Linked DNA regions of Arabidopsis thaliana. The protein of the gene in region 3 interacts with the protein of the main gene of each other region in a pairwise test. Each region holds a gene or a part of one and is shown on either strand. Other genes may lie near its edges. The genes, in order: MYB77, NRT1:2, PYL11 and AT5G51910.

What was found.
Region 1: the proteins of PYL11 (region 3) and MYB77 interact in binary tests that used the Arabidopsis thaliana proteins (3 or more experiments, as listed by UniProt).
Region 2: the proteins of PYL11 (region 3) and NRT1:2 interact in binary tests that used the Arabidopsis thaliana proteins (3 or more experiments, as listed by UniProt).
Region 4: the proteins of PYL11 (region 3) and AT5G51910 interact in binary tests that used the Arabidopsis thaliana proteins (3 or more experiments, as listed by UniProt).

What each region holds. Positions count from the first base shown.
Region 1 is NC_003074.8:18,556,792-18,562,090, reverse strand, and holds MYB77 (myb domain protein 77), read left to right. Parts: upstream 1-2,764; 5' UTR 2,765-3,039; coding exon 3,040-3,945; 3' UTR 3,946-4,484; downstream 4,485-5,299. Other genes in the region: AT3G50050 (Eukaryotic aspartyl protease family protein), read left to right, coding at 4,976-5,247. UniProt on the Arabidopsis thaliana protein: Transcription factor involved in auxin response. Functions in auxin signal transduction and modulates lateral root growth. Interacts with ARF response factors to promote auxin-responsive gene expression.
Region 2 is NC_003070.9:26,295,544-26,303,393, forward strand, and holds NRT1:2 (nitrate transporter 1:2), read right to left. Parts: upstream 5,142-7,850; 5' UTR 4,865-5,141; coding exon 4,862-4,864; intron 4,732-4,861; coding exon 4,626-4,731; intron 4,491-4,625; coding exon 4,273-4,490; intron 2,908-4,272; coding exon 2,479-2,907; intron 2,404-2,478; coding exon 1,402-2,403; 3' UTR 997-1,401; downstream 1-996. UniProt on the Arabidopsis thaliana protein: Low-affinity proton-dependent nitrate transporter. Involved in constitutive nitrate uptake. Not involved in histidine or dipeptides transport. Involved in (+)-abscisic acid (ABA) transport, but not in gibberellin, indole-3-acetic acid or jasmonic acid import.
Region 3 is NC_003076.8:18,603,126-18,607,527, reverse strand, and holds PYL11 (PYR1-like 11), read left to right. Parts: upstream 1-2,850; 5' UTR 2,851-2,941; coding exon 2,942-3,427; 3' UTR 3,428-3,538; downstream 3,539-4,402. Other genes in the region: PYL12 (PYR1-like 12), read left to right, coding at 485-964. UniProt on the Arabidopsis thaliana protein: Receptor for abscisic acid (ABA) required for ABA-mediated responses such as stomatal closure and germination inhibition. Inhibits the activity of group-A protein phosphatases type 2C (PP2Cs) when activated by ABA.
Region 4 is NC_003076.8:21,093,250-21,097,879, forward strand, and holds AT5G51910 (TCP family transcription factor), read right to left. Parts: upstream 2,643-4,630; 5' UTR 2,560-2,642; intron 2,454-2,559; exon of another isoform or gene 2,359-2,453; 5' UTR 2,337-2,358; coding exon 1,455-2,336; 3' UTR 1,317-1,454; downstream 1-1,316. Other genes in the region: AT5G51900 (Cytochrome P450 family protein), read right to left, coding at 432-698, 744-1,205; AT5G51920 (Pyridoxal phosphate (PLP)-dependent transferases superfamily protein), read right to left, coding at 3,953-4,630.

The DNA.
Region 1 (5,299 bases), on a different chromosome or scaffold from region 3:
AATATTTTTGGGACAAGATAACAATTTTCATTCCTGTAAATAAAATTCCACTAAATGGTAAATAACTCGAAAGTCTCGAATGATACAATGAACTCAGTCAACATATATTTGTTTTTCCGCCTCTTACACCGACTAATCTACCACCGTGTGTTAGTATTATGATCTTTATGTTATTTAAAGCTTATCGTTGTTTAGATATATCGAACGAGTTTTTCTGTTAGGCAAACCTTACAAAAATGAATTTAAAAATTAGGAGAACAAACCCGACAATCGAAGCATGGACCCTAATTAACAACAAACAGCAAATGATATACTTTGATTTATATATTCACACATCGTGCACCGTCTTGTTCCTTTTGACAACAACCTATTACCAATATTTTAATTACAATGTTTCTAAGACACACATTGTTGGAATTATATTCTACATCGTGCACCGTCTCTCAGGTATATGTGTTCACCAAATGTTCACGTGCATCTTTCAAAATCTAGCTAAGTGTACAGCAAAAGTACGTGTCAATTATACATTGACCCAAAATAAAATGTTGGATCCGAAATGAAATAGATCTAAACAATGTTTAAGTAACACGAAACAATTTACGACAAAAAAAAAAAGTAACACGAAACAATTTACAAATCCTCAATTTAGTTTACAAACCAATAAAACTTAACATGGTATATATTATAGTCTAATTCAACCCATATAATATAACCTAAATAGGATAAGTTTTCGATTAGAAATACACCAAGAAAACCATCATTTAAATATGACATGTTAGAATGTGGAACACATAATAAAAGTAAACATATTGTTAACTTTTATAACCAAGACTAAGTGTATTATTATTATTATTTTTTTTTATTTTTTTAAAATATTAGGAGGTTTTGGGCCGAAACCCGTAATCTCTACAGACCCAAAATTACAGCATATAATATTAGTTTCGTCACTAGAATGTATTATTAGTATGAAAGAAATAACAATTAAGGGAAAGTTTGGTCAGTAAACTGAAAACCAACAACATCAAAACTGAAATAGTTTCGGTAATCCGTTTATAATTTGACTAATTAGTATGTAACTAATTCGACATAAAATACGGAAAAAGATAAATTAAAAAATAAGTTGTGAAACCGTTCGATGAAGGTTGGGAAGAAGGTGCAAATGACGTTTAGTGCGTTACTAACGTAAGAGACAGTTACACACAATTTCAAAAACAGTTCCAAAAATTTGACACGTGGCAGTTTGCTTAATGGACGACAGTTAGTTGTTTGTTGAGGATTACAGCCTGGATTTTCGTCAATCAAAAACTATATATTATAAATAAATATGATTTCATTCACATTCCAATTGGCCTAACACTCTTTTGTCGTGTTGTCCATGTCAGCAAATTTTATTTTTATTTTTCCGACCACTTACTTTTATCTTGTGTGGCCGTTTCTTTGTAACAAGTTTATGAAACAGAATATTAATCGTATCTAATCATATAAATGTAGTTTCCCGTATTGTGTAAATACTATATGACTTTGATTTGGGGCATTCAAAAACGTACCATTAACAAATAGTCACAGACAAAAAAACCATACAAAACTGAACCACATTTCTATAAACGATACAAATATTTTTATCCCAAATTTGTAGCACTAGGCAGTTTGAACCTTTTTCAGTTAGAAAGATAAACCAAAAGGAAGTAAAAAATATTAATTTCATCGCTCAAAACTGTTACAATTACTGTTTAACCAGTCATAAATTAGTTAATGTTTTTTTTTAAAAATGTGTAATCAAAATTTTACTTTCAAGAGTGCCAGCTCTATACTTGCAATTACTTTAAAATTTAAAAATATACAAATTTTAAATTATGTGTATTGTATTCTCGAGAAAAAAAAAAAAAGAAATCTATGAATAATTAAAACGTAGCATAACCGTTACAAGTATAGTTTCAAATTCAACGAATCAAAATACTTTTTTAAAAGTAGCTAATACTTTTCTCGTTTCAAATTAAATGTCGTTTTGCATATTAATTTTTGTGTCATATTAAACGTCGTTTTATATTCTATGCAGATTTTATGTATAAACTTTATTGGTCAAAAGCGTTACGAATATCGTTTCAAGTTCAACGAATCAAAACATATTTTATAAAAACATCTAATACGTTTTCCGTTTCAAATTAGATGTCGTTTTGCATTTTAATTTTTGTGTCAGTCTAATGTCGTTTTATATTTTCTACACATTTATATTTTCAAAAATTTCAGTTTTATTTTTATTGTTTAAATATATCATCCAATTTGAAAATAATACAATACAATAACAAAAATAACATTTAAATTAAACAAAAATATTTTTAGAACACTGTGATCAAATTTTATCCTCCAATATTTCCCGACCCATAAACTTTAAACCTTATGTAACTTCAAAAAAAAATTCAAATTAGTCGTTTTGTATTCTACAAAATAAAATAAAAGGAAAAAAGTTTCAGAGAAAAGGGTAAATTTGCATAACAAGGAATACAGGCTGGCGTGTCCAGTCAAAAAAGTCAGAAATCTGCATAAAAAACTGTCTTTACCCAAACTGCCAAACCTAACCGTTATCGTCTCAGATATTATTATTATTTTTCAAATAAACATTCAAAACAGCTTTCTAATTTTTCACCTCAGATTGTGCGAATAATATCAGAGCTCTTTCCTTGTAGGTTTCCGTGATTTTGTCGCTTTAACTTCCCTTCTTTTCCCACTCTCTTCTCACGCGCGCGTGCTTCCCCTTTCTCTCTTTCGACTGTATCACACGCTCCATAAACTAATAAACAGACGCACCGAGATCACGACACGTGTACACCTACAGCTGTATCCCAAAACTTTCAAAACCGCTTGCGTGGAAGAAGCGGTGCATGACTTTCTCCACCGTCTCTACCGGTTACCGGTTATTATCCATCCTCCTCTCTATCTCTCTCTCTGTTATAAATACCTTTTTTCTCCTCTCTTCAGTTTCCTCCACCTTCTTCTTCTTCTTCTTCTTCTCTACAACAAACAAACAAAAGATCTGTTTCAATGGCGGATCGTGTTAAAGGTCCATGGAGTCAAGAAGAAGATGAGCAGCTACGAAGGATGGTTGAGAAATACGGACCGAGGAATTGGTCTGCGATTAGCAAATCGATTCCAGGTCGATCTGGTAAATCGTGTAGATTACGTTGGTGTAATCAGTTATCTCCGGAGGTTGAGCATCGTCCTTTCTCGCCGGAGGAAGATGAGACTATTGTAACCGCCCGTGCTCAGTTTGGTAACAAGTGGGCGACGATTGCTCGTCTTCTTAACGGTCGTACGGATAACGCCGTTAAAAATCACTGGAACTCTACGCTTAAGAGGAAATGCAGCGGAGGTGTGGCGGTTACGACGGTGACGGAGACGGAGGAAGATCAGGATCGGCCGAAGAAGAGGAGATCTGTTAGCTTTGATTCTGCTTTTGCTCCGGTGGATACTGGATTGTACATGAGTCCTGAGAGTCCTAACGGAATCGATGTTAGTGATTCTAGCACGATTCCGTCACCGTCGTCTCCTGTTGCTCAGCTGTTTAAACCAATGCCGATTTCCGGCGGTTTTACGGTGGTTCCGCAGCCGTTACCGGTTGAAATGTCTTCGTCTTCGGAGGATCCACCTACTTCGTTGAGTTTGTCACTACCTGGAGCTGAGAACACGAGTTCGAGCCATAACAATAACAACAACGCGTTGATGTTTCCGAGATTTGAGAGTCAGATGAAGATTAATGTAGAGGAGAGAGGAGAAGGACGTAGAGGTGAGTTTATGACGGTGGTGCAGGAGATGATAAAAGCTGAAGTGAGGAGTTACATGGCGGAAATGCAGAAAACAAGTGGTGGATTCGTCGTCGGAGGTTTATACGAATCCGGCGGCAATGGTGGTTTTAGGGATTGTGGAGTAATAACACCTAAGGTTGAGTAGTTTTGGTTTAGGGTTAAAACTTGAATCGATTGGGGATTTTCAAGAGCATTCATTTTTGGGGTTTATGGTAAAATTAAAAACAAAAACAAAATGTACAGAGGAATTAAAATTTCTATGGAATAATCTTAAATCTCAAATATTTGTTACTTGTTTTGGTGATTCATAACCAAAATCTATAACAAGTCTAAATCTAAAAATTGAACCTTGATTAGTGAGACATTATCATACAAAGAGACATACTGAGTTAGTCAACAAAATGTAGGATAACTACATTCTTACATATTGTATAGATGAATTTCATGTTAATCCTTTCATAGAGCTATACAGTAACCATGATTAGTGAGACCTTGTAACATGTAGTATCAAAATCAACAAAGGTATAGATTTAACATCTATTTGAAAACATTCGAACCTTTTATTTGAAAATCTTTTGCTTGTTGTAAGAGATTTACTCTATAGTCTATAGATAGTAATTAAACCTTTTCTATAGGTTTGGTAGATTACTTCACTTTTATATAAAATTAATTACTGTCAAATCGGATTTTTGTTAACATAATTATTTTTCGACAATTTAGAAATTATCGTAAAAATTAGATCAATCTTTCTACATTCTTACAAAAAATAAATACATTGTCTAGAAAATCAGTTTTTTTTTTTCGTTTTAAATCTATAAAAAAACTGACAACAACAAAACAATACATACTTTTTAATTACTATAGAGTAAAATCTCTTACAACATGCCAAAGATTTCAAATAAATTGTAGGAAGATTTTTATGTTATTTAACCATTCTACAGTATAAATAAACACTGGTACAGCGATGTTAAAAAGTAGAGGTTAAAAAAATGCGTTAAAAACACAAAAGCTACGTCGTTTCAATAACTGGGTTTTGTCTCAAAGAAAGCTGCTTTTGGTTCCCGTAGATCTAAAGTTACGTTCGAGTCTCCCCTCTTCTCTCCACTCACTCAGCTCTTTTGATTCCCCTCCAATTTTCTCCGACGGTACGGTCGAAAAATCCAACCGGAGATCAAATGGCACTGCCGTCGATCTCATCAATCGGCGCGACGTTCTCACTCCTAATCTATTTATCTCTTCCTTATTCAATCACAGCTGGTGAAAACAACCTCCTCCACCAATCTCCAACCGCTAGATCACGACGTCCCATGGTGTTCCCATTGTTCCTCTCTCAACCAAATTCTTCTTCGAGATCCATATCAATCCCACATCGAAAACTCCACAAATCCGACTCAAAATCACTTCCTCACTCTCGCATGAGACTCTACGACGATCTTCTTATTAATGGGTAATCTCCTTTTCCATATTTCCCGATCTGGGTCATGTAAAGATGTCTCTTT
Region 2 (7,850 bases), on a different chromosome or scaffold from region 3:
CAGTAACAAAACAAAATTAGATTACGAAGAAGAGAAATTAACACACTTGGAGAGAATAATCTATGTGCCGCGTAAAGGTAAAGGAGGAAGCAAAGACGCAATTATAAGCAAAGCAGAGAAAGTTGGAGGAAATTACAAAGGAAGATTCCGCGAAATTACCTATTAGCAATTTGATAATTAACGAAATATTATGAGCTGTAAGATCGTTTGCTCTTTATTGTTGGGATTTTCCTCTTTCGTCTCTCGGCAATCAGTAAGTGTTAATATTTATACCACGACTGGTACTAAAATGGGATTCCTGGGATTTAGCTTTTATTTCTATTAAAAAGAGATTTTAGTTGAGAGAATACAAATTTATCAGTACTTATCCAATTCTTTTTTAAGAAATTGCCAGAGTCATAATCGCTGTTTACAAAATTTATTTACGAAAAATTTGGACAAAAATAATTCTAGTTTATATTTATTTCAGCATTAATATTTTATCATAATTTTGGATTTTTTTTTCAAAAACAATCACCTTAAATCCCTTGTGAGAAATTTATTCTAGCTTTGAAAAATTGTTTCAGAAAAAAAAACTGAGTGATTACTTTTTCATCGTTTTTTGTCGACAAAAAACAAAACAAAAAAAAGATTTTAAAAAAAAATAATTACTCTTTTTCTGAAACAAAATTTTCTTAGTAAAGAAAATTTTGTTTCAGAAAAAAAAAGAGTTTTTTTTTTATTATCGTTTCTATATAGTATTTTAAGTGTTTTTTGTAAATATATAGTATTTTAAGTATCTTAACCTCTACTATCATGATATCTGATGTTTGTCTAGAGAGATTTAAGGAATCCAAATTAATCAATTGTAGTATGTTTAGACGTAAGGAATCAATTTGTCTTCAAAGAAAAAAACAAAAGAAATGTTTTGATTATAACTTTACTTACCACACTACATGACTGACCAAAACCTCAATAAATGGGCTTTGTTTCCTTATTATCTTCCAAGCCATGTCAAAAATATTTGGGCCTCGTGACCATCGTTTTCTCACACAAATGACAAAAAATCCTTGGGCCTCCTTATCCATCATTTCTCTCAAATTCCAGTTCTTTAGTATCTTGCTGAGAATTCAAATAAGTATTCACAGAATTTCCAGTATCAACTTTTGTGAATATATCAAAGATCAAAACCTTGACTCAATTTCGTACACCACAAGAACAAAAGAAAGACTTAAAGCAAGTTAATATCATTCGCTGTACATTACTTGTCCAACGATAAAAACTTCAAACCCCAATATATACCTGATCACAACATTACTACTTACCCCCATTTATCATCTCTTATATAACAGCCGCTCAAGTAAAAACATTTTCTGCTCTAATTAAAAACAAAAAAAAAACTCAAAAGTTGCCCATCCAATTTTAGCTTCTTGAACCAGTTGATCTATACTTGTAACGCATTGCCCAAAAGAGGTAGTGCAAGAAGTTAGCTGCACTAAGAACACACATTAGCCAATAGAAGTAGTCTAGTTTGTAACGGTTTATGCTTTTTCCTCTGAGCCAAGGTGTGTTCCCTGAGCTTCCTGTGATGCTGTTTACTATGGACACGATCACTGAGCTTAGGTAATACCCCATAGCCAAAGAAGCCCACGAGAGCGATGTTGCGAGAGATCTCATTGAGGAAGGTGCTTCCGTGAAGAAATACTCTAGTAGTCCAGCTAGTGTGAATAGATCGGCTGACCCTAGGAAAAGATACTGAAGTGCGATCCATAGGAAAGTCACGGGTAAGGTTTCTTTCGAGTCAAGCAAGCCGGAGTCTTTAGCCACTCCCTTTCGTTTAATCTCAACTAGAGCTGCAACCGCCATTGCTAATATCGAAAGAACTAAACCTACTCCGATTCTTTGTAGATGAGTGACTCCTGTTTCGGTCTTGGTAGCTTTTCTAGCGAATGGGATAATGAGATGGTCGTAGATAGGTGCGAGGATCATTATGAAAACGACGGGGAAGATCGGTAAGGAAGCTGGAGGTATCTTTAGGCTTCCTATCTTTGTGTTCATGGAAGCAGCTTGTTGGACGGAGAATGTAGAGAGCTGAGCTAAGCAACAGTTAAGCATGATAGTGCAAGCAAATATCGGAAGCATTTTCAAGACAATCTTCACATCTTCCACTTGTTGGACTGTGCATTCTAACAATCTATGGACAGGTTTTTCATCCGCAGCTCCATTTAATACTTTCAAACTGTTAGTTAGTTGTGCCCGAGGAGGCAAAGCTTCTTCTTGACGTGGCTTTTCCAATTCTCCTTGTGATTCAACTTCTTTTTTCCCCTTTGATACGCAATGATTTGAGGGACTCACGGACATACTCGCAACCGCATTGCTTGAACTTCCACTCGAGCAGCACTTAACCGAAGCCGCAAGAAGAACCTGAATAAAGAAATCATATACATAACTTAGGGCACACGTCAATCTCCAATAAGAGCTAAAGAGGTCAAAACAAACCTTCAAGATTGTGGTGAGAGGACTTCCACATGGAATCTTGTTCCTATAAAATCTTGATCCAGAGAGAAAGATGAGAATAGAGACGAAGATAGCAATGGTAGAAACACCGAATCCCCATTCCCATCCTTTGTTGTCTTCTAACCAAACTACAAACGTGACAGCAACTAGTGCTCCACAAGCAAGACAAAACACGAAGTAGTTAAAGAACGTTGACCTTTGTTTCCGACCTTTAGGTGTACTCTCATCAAACTGTTCTGCTCCGTGAGATGCTAATGAACCTTTGATCCCTCCCACACCCAAAGCTACAAGGTACAACCCCACGAATAGCATCGCTGCCTTCGAACCACTCACTTCTTCACATGTGGGACTATCGCACGATGGAGGCATTAAGGATGGTGTCCGAGCTTGAATTGTGAGTATGATCAATCCCTGCACGTTTCCCAAATAAAATTTTAATCCTATTGATTTGTTAAAATCATTAACTAGAGACGGTTATTTTTTTGGGATTAGCAAAGAATAGTATGGGAATGGGACCAGGGGCACGTGAGAGATTTTAACCCTTGTGGTTCGTGAGAGTCAGATCAGCGACGTGATACAAATAATTGAAACCGTTATGAACGATGAAACGTCGTTCGTTATTAAATGAGGTATGGACAAAGCCTAATTTTCGTGTGGTCGCCTCATTGGCCACTGCCTTTTCTTGAAGAAATAACTTCGGTTACACTGACGTAACACCAGGGTTTTAAAAGTTTTGGACTCTAGTATACATTATCCAATCATATATTGATATATGTTGATTCTAGATGAATGTATATGGAATATAAATACTTCATATCATACAAGTAAATGACTCAAATCTATAAAAAGTGACAAGGAGATTATAAGTTAAGTCAGCTATATATATTTTCTTGTAATCTGTTATAAGTTTTCTAATGAAGTTATGATAGTGTATAGGTATACATGAACCATCAATATCTCTATCCATAATGGGAAGTAGAAGAGTGAGCGTTTGCGTTTGCGTCCGGCCAAACGCTACCCACAAAGCATTAAGAGCCCCAACTGTACTTTAGAACTACAAGTTTGTTTTGTCTTTTGTAACATTAAGTTGCAGAGTCACGAGGGTACGAGTGGCAGATGTTATATAAGTGGACATTATAGTTTCATACCCTATCATACGTAAAGACAAGATAACAAAATAAAATAAAAAGCTTGCTGTGTTACTGAAACCCAAGAAAGAGTTTTTAAATTTCCTCTTTTAACCCTGAGACAGTGACAGTTAAAACTGATAAAAATACGTTTGGGTCCCGACCTTAACATACGGATTTTTTATAGATGTTATCACGTATGTGTCGTGTTAGGATCAAAACAAAGCATTGCTTATAGATACGGATACGGTACCGTATCAAAGTCACGCTCCTCTTTGCTTTTGTCCTTTTTATCAGCATCCTAATGCACGCATGGTTCGTTGGATTTTTTTTTGCTACAACCATATTTTCATGTGTGATAATTTTCTTTTATGCTAATAATTGTATAGATATACATGTGGGATCTATTTTAATGTGAACGGATTTATGATTGTGGTGGCTTAGCCATTAAAAACAAAAGTCAACGGTAGTAACTTAAAACTTAAGCGATAGAGAAAAGAAAACTAAAGTAATCTAATGGATAACAAAGTTTCTGAATATTTTTATAAGTGGAGTTTGATTTGTTGTTCCTTGTTAAGTTTAGAAATTTTAAAGATTAACAAAATGTAAAAAAATGAAGTGATTATAAGAATGATTAAGAGAGGTTTACCAAAAACTCGATGGAAGCTGAGATGAGGAAGATTTGAAAAGTGGAGAAGAAAGCGTCGGAGAGGAAACCACCGAGGAGAGCTAGGAGAAAAGCTGTGCCCATGAAATTGGTGACGTCATTTGCCGATTTTGATGGAGACATGTGCATGTATTCTCTTAGGTATAGCACAAGATTACTCGCATTCGCCAAATACGCTAGATTCTCTAATATCTCCACCACTTCATAAGAGACAAATATATATGAATCAATCACAATGATCCATTAGAGAATCGTTCTTAATATAAATGTGTGGATGATAAAGAAAAAGATGCATTAAGAGAATCGAGGGGTAAATTTGGAATTTTGAAACTGACCTAAGACGAAAGAGGCGGCGAGCATGCCACCGTGACGGCCTTTCACGGCTGCTCTGTTTCTCCAATCGGCGTAGCCTTCCCATCTTGAGACCTCTTCTTCCACTTCCTGTAATAATATGGCAAAGAACAAAACAAGACTTTGAGAAAAAGACATATATTTCTATAAAAGGAAACATCATCAAATATTGATTTCTTGAACGATGAAGAAAATAATGTGAGAAGCTTCAAGAACCCACCATTCTCTCTCTTTCTTTCTCTCAAACTTTGAGGTAGAGGAGATATAAAAAAAGGTTTTTATGAAATATAAGAGTGAAAGTGAGAAGGGTATTAGCGGAATTTAAAGAGAGGAGAGGAGAAGGGATTGAGGAAGGGTCCAATTGGGTGAGAAGAAAGAAGAATTTGGGCCCTCTTTATTATTAGAAAATGACTTCATGTTGTAGTTTTCTTTATGCTCTTCTTAGGAAATAACATTGTTTTCTTCTCCTCTAGAGAAAACTAGCTTTATTTCTTTGTTTTTAGGGCACTAAAGATGATATTAATTCCAAGAATTTATAAAGCTAGTAATATAGTGGTGGAATAAAGACTAATCAATCATGTTTGTTTTCCCTTTACTTAATATGCAAGTTGATTTTGAAATGGGGTTTCCAATACCAATTAACATATGAGAATTGATTTTGTTCTATTATTCTCTACAAGGTATAGTGGTAACAAAGTTTAAGGATTGATTGCATATCGATTACTCACATTATATTATTCGTTCACATTTACATGTTAATGAACACTAAATTCTTCTAGATAGTTAAAGAATGACATAGATTGTTTCACGTAAAATAAACTTTTAGTCTACCACATTTATCTGGTCATAATTATTAAATAAAATACACACTATATTTGGGTTTGGTTTGTTTAATGGAGAAGGATGCAAGTAAATCCAAAAAAAAAAAGTTGAGGGCAAGATAAAGGTGATGGAAGGAATCAAGCCCTCCACTTAATGGCTTTAAAATAAATTTAGTGAAACTATCTTTTTGACTAAAACAAAAATGAAGTAGAACATTCACTTAATCTAGACCTACTGATTCCTCCTCTTTCTATTCATGGCAGTTTTCATTGCAAAATATCTCCAATAAAATGATGTTACTAATTACCTCTTTTGACGTCTTAAATTCTTTTGAGATAGAATCATAAATAAACTATGTTTTTGTTTGTCGGGTAATATTGAACTATATATGTTAATGGCTGATATTTGTAAACCATTTTCTATGTACTTTTTATTAGCAATTTAGGTAAAAAAAATGTGATCGTATTTTTGTTTAAAAGATAAAATAAACTGTTGTCTCTATATATGATGGTTTTGCCAGAAGATCTTTCTTTCGGAACTCCATTAATATTGGATACGTGTCGTCTACGCAGAACTTTATTGTTACCACGCACACAAACACACACACACACACAGTGTGAAGAAAAACTTATTTAATTTAATATCGCATATATAAACACACACTCACTGATCAGTGACGAATGCTCGGAGGAGCTATAGTGGTTAAAGTAATTTTTGTATTTGTACTGCCAATATATCTAAAATTCAAATTGAAAGTTCATATATAATAGAAATAATAGACAATAAAACAACAAAGTAACCATTATCATGGCATGGATACAAGAATATGCTGAAATTTAACTAATGCTTTTTTTTTAGGCCAGTGCTATTCTACTATTCTCAGAATTGAATATATTGATTATTCCAGTGCCATATATGAATACGTATTTGTGTGTACGTGTATACATGTTGGAGTATATGATTCAAATTCACAAGGACAAGGCTCTAATCACCCTGAGGTCTTTTTATAACGAAGAATCCAATACTGTTTGGGAGGACTTTAACATTAAAGTGATCTCATGCAACTAAAGAAACAAGTTGCATAGACAAGTGTCGTGTTTTTCTTATCCATGCAATATTTGTTTTGTTTTCTTGATTTATTTCCCTTCCATTAAGGAATTTTATTGTAAACCTGGTTCAGTCTCTATTGCAAACTTTTTCTCTTCAGAATTTATTGTTGTGGTTAACATAAACAACAAACCACATCCTTTAGTTAAAACACTGTTTTTTTTTTGGTGTTAATTTTAGTTAAAAACACAATTGTCAATGAGAAATAAAATATTCCGGTGAATTAGAAAGCATGTACCGAAAAAAAATCCGAAACATTAATTATCTTGAAATATATAGCCGCAATATATTAATTTTCCAATATTCAACTCTGTGGATTCATTTACAAACAATTATTGAATTTGACTAAGCGTACCACATAAATTTCTGCACTAAAGTGTTAAAGACTCGAGAAGAAAATTCTCTTTTTGTTTTTCCTAGCAAGATCGATAGAATTAGATATCATCTGTTTATGTTAAAAAGACTGTTGCAAATATAAAAATACCTAATAAACCATTTTACAAAGTAATCTGCAGAAAATAAAACAAAAGGATCTTGAGATTGAAGCTTCTTGAGGTTTGAAGGACACAACAAATACCAACCATTCTCCACTTCCGCTTAATTGTGGCAGTGACCGACCCTCTCTTTTCTCTACATTATTTATTTCATTTTCAATTTTTTAGAACTCTTTCTCTCTTTTCATAAAGCATACAACAAATTGACATTAAATTATACGAAATATTCATAACCAAAGTTCTTTAGACTGCCCGTGAAATTATATCTTCTTTTTCTATTTCCCTTTTATAATCTCGTCTGTATATGAGCTGTGATATGTTTGACTGCTGACTTCTCCATTTCATGGACCTGACTTGAAGCTGGGAAGATTTTTTTTCTTTTTAATGCTTTTTTATTTCTTATATTATCAGTTCTAAAGTTGGGGCCAACCTTGCAGGGGTCTGCAAACTGTATAACCAATGATATATATGTTAGAAAGTAACATAATGTTAAAATTTTCCATTTATTTAATTGCACCTGAATTATTGGACGGTCTAATTAAGTCAGCACTCATTGGAGTCATTGTCTAAAAACATTAGATCATGATTTTGTATAATGAGTAATATCTAAAGTTGGCTTTCATGGGAAATTGTTTAAAATGATAATGTCAATTTCTAATATTTCGATTTTAAGAATAGTTAAAAGAAGTTTAACTCAAAACTAATTGTAATTACTCGAGGTGTTATCTCCTTTCATGATGTAAAATATTTAATAATAAATAGTTTCTTCTAATTTAACATAAATCA
Region 3 (4,402 bases):
GTGTGATTAATAAGTGTGATTCGTGTAAACCAACGTGGAACCATTATTTGCCACTATTTTTAACACAGTCCATGTCATATAACCCGCCAACCACAACCGCAAATTGTTCCTTACAGTATTTTGTATACAATTTGCTATGCTACACTGTTTGATACTTACTCAGGCCGTTAAAGTATTTTGGTATTTATGTGCATGTATAAAATATCACAATGGACTTAAACTAAATATTTTATTCCAAAGTTAAATGTCATATAGAATATATAAATAAATTTTCGTTGTTACTTGTTATGCGTTCAGAATTTCATAATTTTAGTATTTCTTTCAGTCGGCCTTGTTCTAAAGATATTTCTCATCTTTTTGTCGACCTATAGATTTTTCTCATATATAAATACTAAAAAAAACTTGCCACTACGTAAAATATTTGAAGACAACAACCACAACTGTCGGTAGGAAAACAAAATTGTGAAACACCAAACAAACACGTATGAAAACATCTCAAGAACAGCATGTATGCGGTTCGACAGTAGTACAAACTATCAATGCTCCGTTACCTCTAGTATGGTCGATCCTACGTCGATTTGATAACCCAAAAACATTTAAACATTTCGTAAAAACTTGTAAACTACGCTCCGGCGATGGAGGAGAAGGCTCTGTCCGTGAAGTCACGGTGGTTTCCGATCTTCCGGCGAGTTTTAGCCTAGAAAGATTAGATGAACTTGACGATGAGTCTCATGTGATGGTGATCAGCATTATTGGTGGTGATCATCGTTTGGTTAATTACCAGTCGAAAACTACGGTGTTTGTGGCGGCGGAGGAGGAGAAGACAGTGGTTGTGGAGAGTTATGTGGTGGATGTGCCGGAAGGAAATACTGAGGAAGAAACTACGTTGTTTGCTGATACTATCGTTGGGTGTAATCTTAGGTCATTGGCTAAGTTATCGGAGAAGATGATGGAGCTCACTTAAAGTTGTAAAAGTCGTGGGATTGTAATAATAGTATTAGTTTTTAGAATTTAAAAGTAAAACTCTTACATTTTTACGAGGTTTTGGATATATAGCAACTAGCAAAATATGCTTATTCAACTGGGAATAATATAGGTATAATTATGTATTTATATGTCTTGTGAAATTAAAAATAATTGTTTAAGTTTCTTTCTTAAATGTCATTATTCTGTTTGCCCAAAAGTATATACAATTTTAGTTTGAGTCCATTTCTAAACTCTCCTTTGTAAATGTATTGATATAAGCCAAATTTTGAAATCATTCAAGTTAAAAAGTTAAAATCATTTTTTTTTCTTTTGATTAAAACTCTTGTTGTTGTAACAGGAATTGACTTGTGAGTACTAACGTGTCCAGCGAAATAGCTTTCTAAAGCAGACTCTGATCGTTCAGTGTCTTATACCTTCTCAGTTGAAACTTGATGCCAAAGAGCGTCTTTTAGCATGTGCAAGTGAAGAAATTAAACATAGTTCGCTTATAAAATAAAAAGTATATTTTATGATTCATTTTTTTCTTGCACAAAAAAAAAATACAAAAAGTTGAAATACAATGGTAATTAATGTAATTAACCCTTCGTCTCCAACAGCTTCTTTTTAAAGAGGAAAAATAGTTTAAATTCTGTTATATTTGGCTGTAGCTCAATTGTTCAACTTCTACTTATTTTTACACTTTTTCTCACAAGAAACTAATTACATACTAGTAGAATGAAGAGCCATTTCAAACTATTTTTACTTGAAGGTAATATTTAAAAAACATTTTGCTAATATGTTGGTAAACAATTAAAAAAAAAAATAACCTCACTTATACATATTTACTTAAGATTTTCTTAAACAAAATTAGGATTGTTCGATTATCCTACTTACATATGCTAAAATACGGCCTTGAATCTTGATAGATTGCATGCAAAAGTCTTACCGAAATTATTTTCATCTCTAATCATATTGATCGACTGAACTCGTAAACGTTTTATTCTGTTTAACTTTATTTTATTGTGTGTCTATTTTTATTTTTGATCAGATTAAAATATAAGAGTTTGAAAATGTGAGATTGCGATTACGATCGAAGGTTCAATTATTTGGTCCTTTTCAAATTGTTAACAAAAGAAAAAGGGACCCTATAAAAGTTAAACAGAAATACAATTTGGTTAAGCTTATCGGTTTCCGGTTCAATTATCTTTACCTTCTGAAGGAGTAAGTGATGCTATTTTGGGCTTCAAATGGATCTTTAATCTGTAGGCTCATTGGGCCTGTTCTCAACTTGGCGTTTAAAGATATGTCCTTCCCTCTCTCATCTGTTCTTGTTTGTTTTTTTTTTGTTTGTTTTTTTTCATTTAGTCAAGTTTTTATCAACAAAAACAATGTCTATAAATGTGTGGTAAATAAGTGTGGTTCGTATGAACGAAATCGAAAACGTGGATCTATTACATGCCACTAGTTTTTCCACAATCCATGTCATAACCCTCCAAATTTAACCGAAATACATTCTTCATTACAATGACGTTACAAAACAAATGTGCATTCTAAAGTTTACAATTTATTTAAATATATTTTACGGACAAATATGTAGCCATATGCCTATATATTGTCACCATATGCTACACATCCTACACTGATTAATCAGTCTTTCTTTTAAAGCATTTTTTTGGTTTTATGTGCATATTACAATGTATTCTTTTAAAATATATATACACTTTAAACTTCTTTTTATCATCTTATGTTATACAAATCAACAAAGTTTTTCTTACTTGATATTACATTCATATTTTGCAGAAAACACCAAAAAATGACAACTCATATTTTTTTTTAGTCGGCATTGTTCTTAGATATTTCTCGTATAAATACTCGAACACTAATGCATGGAAGCTTCAAAAAGGTTTGAAGATACTGTCACACAAAACAACGGTCGATAAAAGGACAATTTCGTCAAAAAAACAGCAATACACAAATGGAAACTTCTCAAAAATATCATACGTGCGGTTCCACACTAGTACAAACTATAGATGCTCCACTATCTCTAGTTTGGTCAATTCTACGTCGGTTTGATAACCCTCAAGCCTACAAACAATTCGTGAAAACGTGCAATCTAAGCTCCGGCGATGGAGGAGAAGGCTCCGTCCGTGAAGTGACGGTGGTTTCCGGTCTTCCAGCGGAGTTCAGCCGAGAGAGATTAGATGAACTTGACGATGAGTCTCATGTGATGATGATTAGCATTATAGGTGGTGATCATCGTTTGGTTAATTACCGGTCGAAAACGATGGCGTTTGTGGCGGCGGATACGGAGGAGAAGACGGTGGTGGTGGAGAGTTATGTGGTGGATGTGCCGGAAGGAAATAGTGAGGAGGAAACGACGTCTTTTGCTGATACAATCGTTGGGTTTAATCTTAAGTCATTGGCTAAGCTCTCGGAGAGGGTGGCTCATCTAAAGTTGTAATTTTTAGATTATAGTTTTAGTTTTTAAGAATTATAATCAGGTTCAACTAGCAATAGTCATGGTCGATGGGAAATAAGTAAGTATATGTATAATATTAAATATAAGGAGTATTTGTTAGTAACTTAATTATTAGTAAGTTAGTTAGTATCTTACGTTTGTTCTTTTATTTCATTTTAAAAAAAAGTTTCTGTAATTTTGATGTGGTAGAAATCTAGAAATAGATTCTTGGTTGGCTCAGAGCTTTTGAATGATAGGCAATGGATCTTCCACGATATCTAAGAGCAGTTGTCATGCGAAAGACAATCACTAGTTCTACCCTGTCCTTTTCACCTCCGCAAATTTAGGGTTCTTTGTTATCCGGTTAATGAAACATGCTCAACATTTAAAAGTCTATAGTCTAGTACATTAAATGTAGGGGTCGGTGACTTTTTTTTTTGGTCCAAGCCTCCAAAGTTTTTAAAAAAACACTCCATTAAGACGTTGGTCCTTTTTTTCTACATAAAAACAAAATTGCCGCTGGTGAATTGAATGAACATTTACAGACAGTTTTGAAGAGTTTGGTATTTAATAAATTATATTAAATGACAATATTAATAATTTGCTATCTTCTTCACCTTGTTTCGATGCATCTAAGGTCCACATTATTGATTACAAGAAGGTACGCCTTGTTTATTTTTGGGAGTAGTTTTTAGAACAGCAAAAGGTATTTGATGATTTTTTTGTTTGCCAATATACTTTCATGATTTCCTTTAAAATAGACCATATGTTACTATTTTTATTTTCCTCTAACTTTAAAATATAGTGCCCAAGAAAGAGACAATAAATAACGACTGCACTAAAAAACGTGCACAATTACTTGTATACTATAAGCTATATACATACATTATGAAGCTTTTGAAAGGAAATTCCACTGCCTCTTACATCCGATCTCCTCAGCTTTGGCAACTCTTGTTGCGATGAGAGTTACAACTGAAT
Region 4 (4,630 bases), 2.5 Mb from region 3:
AAAATTACTTATTTTGTCAACAATGAGAAAAAAAAAAAAAAAAAAAACAAAAAAAACTGGATACATAATTTGGATACGGTTGAAAACAAAGAAACAAAATTTTTTGTTACGGTTTAGTTTACTTTAGTTTCGGTAGAGAAGAAATGGTTTCGTAATTCGTAGAAATAAAAATGGTACAGTATAATAATTGAAACAACATTTCTTTTTTGATTTCATCAGTTTACTAACTCATGAATTATCATTCTTGGATCGAGAGTTACATTCTTCTAAACTGTCATTGAAATCATTAAAAAACCATTACTATAATTTGTCTACAATAAAAACTAAACCTCAAGGTAGATCACACTTAAACTTGTCTCCTTATTAATACTCTTAATTAGGCTATGGTTTCGAAATAGAACTTAAAAAAGAACTTGATTATTTCACTAATATCAAGATGAACATCTCTTGTTAATCTTAACCTTAAAGCCATGCTTCATTTTAAGAATTAAACTAGTATCTGGCTCAAACTTCTGCCCGTTGGCAACCTTGATGTCATAGTTTTGTAATATCTCCACCGCCACAATCTTCATTTGAACCATAGCTCTTTGTTTACCATGGCATATTCTCGACCGGCATTGAATGCTAACTCTCCGGTCTCGGAAATCCATCTCTCTGGCTTGAATTCTAATGCATCTTCTCCCCATACAGCTCTCATCCTACCCACCACCCCATAAATAAAGACCAAAATCTTGTTTAAGTACATCTTTGTTTAAGTACTCCATTGGATCACAAGATGGTCTCTCTTGGCCACTACAACTTCTTGGTAGATTCATGTCAATCTCTTGGCGAATCTTGGTCACCACTAGAGGGTTTTCGGACAAAAACCAAAAGAACCAAGTGAGAGCAGAGGCAGTGGTATCTCTCCCAGCTAGAAGTAAAGCAAAGACATTGTCTCTTAAGAATTTATCATTGATAGGATCCAAGAGCTGGTACTGGGTTGTATCAAGCTTTATGTGAGATGTCAAAAGATTTGCATGACTATCTCTAATGAAATGATCATTATTATTCACTTGTGATCTTTTTACCTCTTCTCTCCTGGCTGATATGTATTTCCCACACACTCGATCAAAAATGGCACCAGCTTCTATCATCTTCTTCTCCATCCCAACTCCGATCCAGCTTTGTAGCTTCCACGAGAATCTAGGTTTAACGTGCCTATACATTATTCCTTCTACTATTGTGTCGAGAGCTTTAGCAGACTCAACCTCTGGCGTTTTAGCAGACTCATTTTTAATCTCATTTTGATTTATTTTTTAAAAATGATAGGATAGTTCCATTAATTACCAAAATGTTTGACAGAAACATAAAATTGAAATTGTGCTCCCAATTCTTTTACAAATCTTACTTAACCTAAATCAGGAATCAAACTTACTAAAAACTAAAAAGAAACTAGAACTAAGAGTTAAAATTCCTTAAGTCTCATGACATGAAGACGGAGATGAGTTCCCTGAGCCACCCAAAAACTGAAGCTCTCTCTTATCATAAATCTCCAACGAAAAATCCCTCAGCGGTTGCGTCGTTCCGCCACCGCTCGTTTCCATCTCCGCCTCAGCGTCTGAAGCGTTTGAGACATAACTAGACACCGGTCTAGCACCAACATTCAGAAACGGAGCTGTAGCAACGGTAGGAATAGCCCACATTTGGCCCATTTGATCCGGCCCACCAGTAACAAACGCAGTACCCATACCCATAGGCCAAAACGGCACAAACCCCTGTGTATTAACGTTCAGGATATTAACGCCGTAGTTTGACGCCGTTATCGGAGCTAACCCAGAAGTAACGGAGCTATGACAGCTGTCATTAACGTCTACGAAATCGCTCGTACAGTTTCTCTTCCTCCGTTTCTTTATTAGGTCACCGTCACCGTCACGGCCGCCGTCATTCAACACTGGAGAGCTCGTCGGGATTTTTAAAGTTCCGTTAACCGATACAGCAATAGCCGGTACAGTTCCGGTTCCGGTTGCTTCAATTATCGCCGGTTCAGCTCGTTCCAATAACCACCGTATCGTTTCTCCGTCGGATTTGTGACCAAGTTCACGGGTCAATTGAAAGACCCGAGCAGCGCAACCCGCCGGCATTCGGATCCTCCGACCTCGTCCTTCTACTTTCGTGTGACGGTCTTTAGAAGTCGGTCTCTTCGGAGCCGGTTTAGTCTTCACCGGCTGCAAATACCCGTCTTCTTGTTTCATGAGCATCATACCCGGTTTGGTTTTCGGATTCGGGTCAGACAGATGGGTCATGGTTGTTACTTGGTCAATCACTTGTATCGCGTTGCCTTCGTGATTCGATTCCATTTACCACAAAACCCTAGAATATCTGAATGTCACAAAACTTCAAAATCAGCCGAAGAATTGATTCAAGTAGGATATAGTCAAAATGTTTAGTTTTTACTGATTCTTTTGACGAAAAATGTTATCTGTTTGAATTTGACAGATTGAAAACTAAAGAACAGTGGATAAAAAAAAGTGAGGAAACCCTACAAAGGTAGAAAAATAAAATTAAAAAACCACAGCTAACCTTATCCTCTGCACGAAGAACCCTACAAAGATGGAAGAAGGGGCCCTCAAGATCATCGTTTTTATTTTTATATAGTCCCATTACAAATCAACGGTCTAGATCACATACTTCATATGGGCCTGTTTTAGCTAACTAATGGGCCTTGGCCTCGACCACATCACAAGAGTCATGTTGTGGAGCTAATTTTTTTTTTTTTATTGATAGTTGTACAGTTGAACCGGTTTCCATTTAAGAAGTGAACCAAACCAACCGAATTGGACAAAACCGAGCCATAACTAGGGCAATACAAAACTTAGCTATCTCAAAACTGAGTACTATTGACAAGTGCAGCTTATGTTCATTTCTGAGTATTATTGACAAGTAAAACCATTATTGTCTTGGTCTGAATTCTATCACCAAAACGACTAGTCTCTATTTTGATAGCATGTTACTGTTTTCGTAAAAACCAATTTGGTGTACCTAATCCCTTGTTGATTTTGTTGTATACAAGGTTGAAAAACTTTGGTCCCCACGAGAAGATTGGAACTGCGTAGTAAAACAAATAGTGCATGATTTACAACACCAAGATTCCAAACTACTCGGTAAATATTCTTGCAAGCTTAGGGTAAGCTTTATAAGAAATGATGGCAACAAAAAATGTCAATTACTAAGCATGACTCTCGAAGACTAGAGTATGAAGCTTGGAAATAAGGTTTCACCCGCCAAAAAGAAAACAATTCACTATTCATTATTTAATACTATATTTATAAGTTAAAATTATCAACATTGGTCATTTGTAATAATCTTTTGATGTTGACTACTAAAAAAATAGATTAAATAAAAGTATTATTCCATATTTTTATAATAGATTGATGTTTGGGATTTTTTCACATATTAAAAAAAAAACATTATCTAATCATTAACATTTTTTATATTAAATATTTTTAAGTTTAATTATGAGCTAATAAAATTAAAAGTTTAATTATTTTCAATCATTGCATTTTGAAATTTAGTATTTATCATACTAAAAATAAAAATAAAAATAACATCTAGAAAATCATTTGTGCAATAAATTTTATAAAATCAAAATTTTTAACAACCGAAGAAATATATAGCTGATATGGGTTTATTTTAGTTATTGGGCATTCATTTGCCCCGTTCATATCTACTTGACATCTAGGAATGAGCGAATTGTAAATAAATATATATGAGCTACCTTTTTTCGAAAGTTAATTATTTTTTTTTGAATCAGTAGCAAAATCAAAATTAGTGGGAGATAGAGGTGCTACTTGGACGCTAATGTTGACGCTGACTTTGTACTGAACAAAAATCAAAATTTTCATTGATACTTGAACCGGTTCTGATGTAAGAAGTGAACCAAAGCAAACCGAGCCAAAACTAGGCTATATGTTAACTAGACTACTTCACGGTTCTTATGTTCAAAAACATGAACTCCACATCTCACACTCTCTTTATCAACAAACTCTGAATCCAAAAACCGAGCAACGAATATCCAAAGTTTATAAACATCTTCGAAATTAGCAAGAAACCCTAACGCAGCAGTGAGAACAGAGATCCTTGGTTCGTCGACGTCTCTGTTTCTTTTCTTCTCAAAAACTCTATCTTTCACGCCTTCGTAGTCTTCTTGGAACAAGATGTTCTTCAAGAAACTTTTACCGAGTGAGATGTTGCTGCATTCGGCTAACTTCTGCACGATAAAAGGTTCGATTTTTTCGCCTTTATGGTTGAATAGATTGAACGCAACCGCTGGTCCTCGATTGAAATTAACTTTCGGACCGTAGATTTTAACTAGACGACTAGTTGTTGAATGTTTGAGTTTGTAGAGAGCACTTACCAACCAATTTATCAAGCATCTTGATCTGTTCCCTGTTGCTACCAACCCTAGTGAATCTACATGATCTAGGCCTTTGTATTCGACACTAGAGCTAAAGCTATATGTTTCTTCCGAATCTGTTTGTGTTCGGTTGATTTCCAACGCGTGTAATGAAATCGGATTGTCGGTAGGTACGAGGTTAATCATACCTGGACCAGTGGAAGATTCAAGAATCGATATGGTGGATTTCTTGACAAA